Danio rerio: one gene and its partner. The protein of the gene in region 1 interacts with the protein of each later gene in a biochemical or structural test. Links are inferred from orthologs where the notes say so. Each region holds a gene or a part of one and is shown in the gene's direction. Other genes may lie near its edges.

Evidence for each region.
Region 2: the proteins of dnm1l (region 1) and fis1 form a complex in vitro, tested with the Homo sapiens proteins (2 studies listed by BioGRID). The link is inferred for Danio rerio from reciprocal best matches to the Homo sapiens genes DNM1L and FIS1.

The regions. Positions count from the first base shown.
Region 1 is NC_133200.1:21,480,775-21,483,792, reverse strand, and holds the end of dnm1l (dynamin-1-like protein), read left to right. Parts: intron 1-41; coding exon 42-201; intron 202-1,896; coding exon 1,897-1,953; 3' UTR 1,954-2,234; downstream 2,235-3,018. UniProt on the Homo sapiens protein: Functions in mitochondrial and peroxisomal division.
Region 2 is NC_133182.1:20,824,535-20,828,810, reverse strand, and holds the start of fis1 (mitochondrial fission 1 protein), read left to right. Parts: upstream 1-1,328; 5' UTR 1,329-1,370; coding exon 1,371-1,415; intron 1,416-1,950; coding exon 1,951-2,083; intron 2,084-2,176; coding exon 2,177-2,253; intron 2,254-4,276. UniProt on the Homo sapiens protein: Involved in the fragmentation of the mitochondrial network and its perinuclear clustering. Plays a minor role in the recruitment and association of the fission mediator dynamin-related protein 1 (DNM1L) to the mitochondrial surface and mitochondrial fission.

The DNA.
Region 1 (3,018 bases):
GTTTTAAGCAGAGTGCCGATGCTGTCTCGGTGTGTCTACAGCGTACCAAAGGCTGTGATGCACTTCCTGGTGAACCACGTGAAGGACAGCTTACAGAGCGAGCTGGTGGGACAGCTTTATAAACCTGCCCTGCTGGATGACCTGCTCACCGAATCTGAGGACATGGCTCAACGCCGCAACGAAGCAGCTGATATGCTCAAGGTGATGTTAATAATCATCATTTATTTAACCCTTTCATGCATGAAATGTTCGTATTATATTGTAAAATTTCTGTTTCTCAGATTCTCAATATGTGAAAGAACATATATTTTGACTTTGGTTAGTTATGCATTCATGAATTAATGTATGCGTAATTTCATAAATAATATAAATACTTCTAGTAACCTTCCGATCACAGCTGTATCCCTTTAAGCAAAAACTGCAGGAGAGATATGACCTGCTGTATTTACGTCATGTTTATTTATAATTTTTTTTCCGAAATACATGAAGGTAAGCAACTGTTTCTCTGGAAGAGGAATAGAGAAAATATTCTTGTAACATAAACAGTGTGTATCTTAGGTGAACAAAGCACATCGTCCGGTTATATTTAAAAATAGTTATTATTGCCATCTCTATAGACATCCGCTTGTATTTTACAAACCTTAAATGGTATGCTTTGCTCGTAGTTATGTGTATTTGAATGTCTGAAACCAAAAATAAATGTTATTTGTTTGAAAGCATAGATAAATTGTTATTTATGACAAGCGATGCGCACCTCTTTCTGTGCTTCAGCAAGGGCCGTCAGATTTGAGTTTTAGCAGTTGATGACGTACGCTATCAGTGTTTTAATTCCGCTGGTGTGATCATACGTTTTAGGGACCAGCCATGGCTAATCACACAGGTGTGATTGTACGTGTGAAAGGGTTAAATAGTAATAATCATGCAATAAAAATATAGGTTTTTATGTAGGTAATTGTTTAATAATTTGCCTCTATTAATGTTAATCAAATATTATTTTTGCTTGTAAGATGCGCAAGAGAATCTGTTAAATAATGATACCTAACTGGTATAATATTCTTATATGGTTATAAATAATTATTAGAATTACTTTAATTATATTGCCTGTAATTACTGTCATAATTGTAGAATAAACACATATATAAGAATGTACATGAATGTAAACACTTAATTACATTAGTTAATCCTTTTTAATTATACTAATGATTCTTGTATTAATAATATTTATGTACATTTTTGGTTGTGCCAAGTAGCCTTCATATTAAGATAATGCATTGATGTTAATATTTAATGACTCTTTTTAATGTAATAAAACACTAATTGTAAAATATTTCAAAATACTTGTCAATGTGTAATTCATAGTTGTTTTTAATACTTTTAATCATTAATTTTAATTGTTTATTAGTTGTGAAAAATGGTAATATAATTGGTAATTGTAATTAGACAAAGTAGTGCATATTAATGGCTTTCACAATAATATCATTATTATTTATTGTAGCCTTTGTATCAATATTAATTTAATAATGCTATTATCTATTACTTCATGTTGAATAATTTATATATTTATTTTTAAATATTGTTATAAGTAATTATTAAAGTACCTAATATGTTATTTAATATTAACTATTATTAATTGTAACTTATATTGTTTAGTAATGCAGTATAGTTTTTAAATTAATCATACTTTATTTAATTAATAAATTATCATATATTACTAAACTATAATTAAAGAAAAACAGAAAATAGAAATAATTTCTATTAAGTGATTATTTACTAACGGTAGAGTTAATATTACTCAGCTGTGAATTAGGAGGATTTAAAGTTATTGAATTTTTAAGGGTATATTTAATCATGCAAAGGAATATTGCAAATATTTCCAAACCTCTCTTACACCCACAGGCCTTGCAGAAAGCCAGTCAGGTGATCGCCGAGATTCGAGAGACGCACTTGTGGTGAACGTCCCGCCACTGATGTATAGCCCCTTCCCTTCACGCGAACCCTGCGCTCGGAGTCAGTCTCTTCTGTTCGGATCTCACAGACAGCCAACTTGAAAATGCACTGTCAGTTAATGTCTATTGAATATAGTTTTATGTACGCAACGGACTCTTAGTGAACTACATTGAGGGCAGCACATATCACAGCACACCTGCACACCGTCCCGTTCTGAGATCTTACATGTACGTGAGCTATCATGTGTTCCTGATGTAGCCTAAATTAAAGGTAGTGATGTAAACTGATCCAAAGGTGTGTTGTTCTGTTTGGCCTTCATTTCTCGGTTTTTGCATGGTTTGATATTTAAAGGGTCACAAAACCACCAAAACACATTTTTTGAGATGTTGACATTCATATGTGTGTCCCACGTTGCTAAAAGCACTATTAGGACACATATATTTCACAAAAAAAGAAAACTGGTTGTTTTAAGCAAATTCGTTTTTCCAGTTTCAAAAGATAATTTGAAGCTGTGTCACGGCCATGAGATCATTGTGTAAAATCCAGCGTAGAGATTGGCTGTCTGTACCGGACGGTACAGCGTGACCACTTTGAGGGTTCAGCATTAATTCATAAGAAAGACTTGGTTCGGACCAATCAGCACGCTCTATTGTGAATGAGGTGCAACTTTATTAGTGTGCATGATAGACAGTGCATCTGGAAAGTATTTATAGCGCTTCACTTTTTCCATTGTTTTATGTTACAGCCTTATTCCAAAATGGATTAAATTCATTTATTTCCTAAAAATTCTACACAAAATACCCCATAATGACAATGTGACAAAAGATTTGTTAAAATTGTTGCAAATTTATTAAAAAACTTCATAAAAAAAAATCACATGTACATAAGTATTCACAGCCTTTGCTCAATACTTTGTTGATGCGCCTTTGGCAGCAATTACAGCCTCAAGTCTTTTTTTAATATGATGCCACAAGCTTGGCACACCTGTCTTTGGGAATTTTTGCCTATTCCTCTTTCTTTGCAGCACCTCTCAAGCTCTATCAGGCTGGATGGGAAGCGACGGTGTACAGC
Region 2 (4,276 bases), on another chromosome or scaffold:
TTTTTAATTTTACTGTAAGATATATGCTACTCTGCCCATATCCAAAAAATAATTTAATATTGTTTGCAAGGCCATCTCATGGGATTTGTATGCTTTTTAGAAATATTATTAATTTATTTATTTCTGTATGTCACTATAGTCCTGATTTTACTGTTGATGGATCCATTTGTTTCTCCACAAAAAAAAACAATCATAAAATCAGGTCTTGTCATCTCAAATCCTTCTTCTATTTCTTATTGAAACAACTTTTTTGATGATATTAAATGGTCGTATGTTTGGTCACTCCCTCAGAAATGTTTTAACAAATAAAATTAAAGAAATGTCTTTTAAAATTATGCATGGGTTTCATCCAGTTAAACAATTTTTACAAAAATGACGTTGACGTGTCTCGCTTTTTTTGTGAGACTTCTTCTGAGTCTGTTGCTCACTTGTTTAGGGAATGTCTCTTTTGGTGATTTTTCTTTAAGCTATAAATAAGCGCATACCTTTACTGATCATTAATTCATAATTACGGTAATGTTTAGTTTACGTATTAATTTGTCAGTATTCATGTACTGTTATTGTAAAGTGTTACCCAGTAATTGCAAGAGTTTAGTCATTATATACATTTAAATTCATTATATAAAAATAAGAACGCAAACAGAACTATTTCATTTTGTAATGACTTTAGTGTATGTACTGTTATTGATTCTTAAATGTCTTACCCTCAAGTTTATATCATGTTCTTTATTTGTTTTTTTCTTCTTCTCTTTTTCGCTCTCATATCTCTTTTTCATTGACAATGTAATTCATATTTTGGATAGTAAACAAATATTGCTACAAACTTGTGAACTGTTTTTTGCAAAAAAAAAAAAAGTTTTACCCAGTAAACTCTTCCGTTTCACAATCTCAGTCTTGCTGGTTGTATTTTTTATGAAACTGCATACACACGTTCATTACATTGCCTATTGTTTTACATTCTGTGATGGAAATTATATTTTTAACAGTTTGGGGGATTACGTATATATTTTTCTCTCCATTTTTTTTCAAGGCATTTAAAGTGAACTGAAATATACTATATAATATTACCATGATATCACAATAGTAAAGAGTAAATAATAGGAATGGGAATAGTAAAATATCTGTATGTTTATGTATGCTTTAAAATAAAATGTTTATGTTCAACAAACTGAAATTTGATTAGGTGAAACGCATAGCCTTTAATATATCAAAATAACATAGAACTCGATAACCACAGAATTCATTTAAACTAACGTTAATTAAAAACAGCGAGATAGATTGCTGCCTCACTATTAAAACGGTGTGTCGCAATCACTGACTTTTATTTTGACAACGCCCTGAACCTTCCAGTGTTTGGTTTCTCTGCGAAGATGGAGGCGGTTGTGTCAGACATAGTAGCACCAGAAGATCTAAAGGTATTTTAAAGCATTTTAATCAGTCTTTTCACTGCTGTGAATCAAAAATGACTTAGATATCGTCTTGATGAAACTGTTTTATATAGTGTAATCACCGTTGTCGGGTTTATACCAAGGCTTTCGACTGACGCACTTCTACTGTACACCCCAAAACAAAAATAATGGACATTATATATGATTTTCACTCATGTATCTTTAACTCATTGTGTTATTTTGACGATCTTTATTGACGAACAGTAAACGTACTGTTATAACATCTAACACTACGGGGTTTTGAGATATCTAATACACCTTTTTTATTAGTTTATGTTTGTATAATACGGTATATACTCCATAATATTAAAATGACTCCTATCGTGTCAAATACATAATTTTATTTTCTTTAAAATAGAAGACAAAGTGTAATTAATCAGTTTCCTGTAAAAGTTAGTCTACGTTTGTCTGCCAGGGGGAGCACATGATCCTGACATCATCATCATCATCCTACTGGTCGAATGGAGTGATTAGATCCACTGACATGACTTTTATTTTGCAGAAGTTTGAAAAGAAGTATAACGCAGAGCTGGTGAAAGGACCCGTTTCCAGAGACACTACTTTTGAATATGCCTGGTGTTTAATCAGAAGCAAATACACAAATGACATTGTAAAAGGCATTCAGCTTTTAGAAGGTCTGTGATTCAGCTTTTTTTGTTTGTTTTTTTGGTTTGTTACTGCCTGCTTGTTCGTGTTTGATAATTCACTCAAATGTTTTCTTTCACCAGAACTGGTTCACACAAGCAAAAAAGATGACCAGAGAGATTTTCTCTTTTACCTTGCTGTTGCAAATTACAGACTTAAGGTGGGTGATGAATCCTGAATCCATGTTTGGGATGATGTTGTCACTGATGATACATTCTTTCAGTTTTACTTGATTTGTCAAAACACTAAACCAGACTTTTATTTAAAATTTTAAAAACCATAACGCCATTTTTGAGAAAGCTCACCCAATTCATTAAACTATAAACACAATTCCCCTGCTTTGACACAAGAATTATTGTAAAATTGGTTTTATAATCGCACATTCACACTTATTAACTTTAGAAAAATATTCTTTGCAAGTTTTAAATATGGAAATCTTATTAGTAGCTTGGGTTGTCACGATACCATAAATTTAGGCCATGATACTATACCAGCAAAACAAAAGTATCACAATAGCAAGTATAGCGGCTTTTGACGCACATCACTTCACCTTAAATGTTATTTGTTATTTTGTAGATAACTGACCAACAAAAACTGCATTAAATATGAGATACAAATTATACCAAATGAAATTCATTACAGAAAGACAATTTTTTAAACAAAATATGAGGTAAAAAAATAGTGTTTTCTTAGTGTTTCCTATTGCTATTTTCATTTTTTCTCCTCTATTGTATTTTTTATTTTCAGTTTTATCTAGTAAGAATCCAAAGTAATAATAAATTTCACTTTAGTAAGTTGTTCTTTTTAAGAGATTGTCGTGGTCGTTGTAGCTAAATCATATTTGCAGGAATAGAAATGAACTGATTCAGATGTGTGTTTGAAGCATCAGAAAATTTTAATAGAGTGTTACAATTACAATAAGATAAAGTAGTCTATTGATTATTTGCTGGCACAAATGAATGAGATTTAGGGACTTTTCCACATGCTGTTGACTATTGTTGAACCATTAATGATAATACTACCGTTTACAAACTAGAGTCACTGCCAGTATTTTGGAGCCTTAGTATCGCGATGCTACCAAAGTACCAGTAAATTTGCAACCCTATTAGTAGCCAATGATTATCAAAGTACAACATTGTTCACAGTCAATTAAATAGTGCTAATGTTGTTTTGAAATCATATGTGCATGTATTTTGAATGTTGAATGTGCTGGCAGTCGGCTGCAGTTTTTTTTTACTTTAAAACTTTTGTCCTAATGATGTAATAAATTTGTATTTTAAAAATGTAGCCTTTTAGTAATTTTTTTATTGCAATTTTTTAGGAAATATTTTTAGTACATCAAAAAGTATGATTATGATGACATCTGACTAGCTAATCCAGCAAACAAATCACTAAAATGCAGTATTTAAATCTCATAGTTAAATAGAAACTGAGGCGTATAACTGCAAAAAGGTTCACTTTTTGAGAAAAAAACTAACCACTCCTTTCACCAGGCTGGCTACAGGCCTGAGGACTGTTAGTCTCCGATGAAATTGTGTATGATAATATATATCATATGGACGGAATAAAAAAGTCCATCATTTCATTATGCTTTATCGTTTATATAATGGTGTCACAAAATAGATTGTTTACGGTTGTATTTTTCAGAATTTATATGAGCACAATATTACACTTCTTTACAGAGATGCAGACAGAAACATAAATAACAGCATCGTGGGAAAGTCGCAATCTTGAAAGTAGTGTAGTACTGGAGGAATTTGTTCTACTGACACAGTTTAACGGCAAATACAGTGCTCAGCAAATACGAGTACACCCCTCACAAATATTTCTTTTAAATTCATATTTTTAATAGGAAGCTATACAATATTATATTTGTGCATATACATTAGTTTAGTCAGTACTAAAGCCAAATATGGAGCTTATCTAACAAAATAACTTATAACGGTCCAAAGACTAGTACACCCAAATTTATATGTTATAAAAAATATTAAATATAAATTTAAAAAGAGAAAAAATCAAGAGAAGCAAAAAAAAAATTAAGATAATTGTATTACCTTTCAATTTCTAAATATGTTTAGTGACAAAATATTATTTTAATAAATATATCTGTTTAATAAATCAGTTTTTTTTAAAAGCACCAAAATACATTGCCTATATTCATTTTCAAAATGGCATTTACTTAG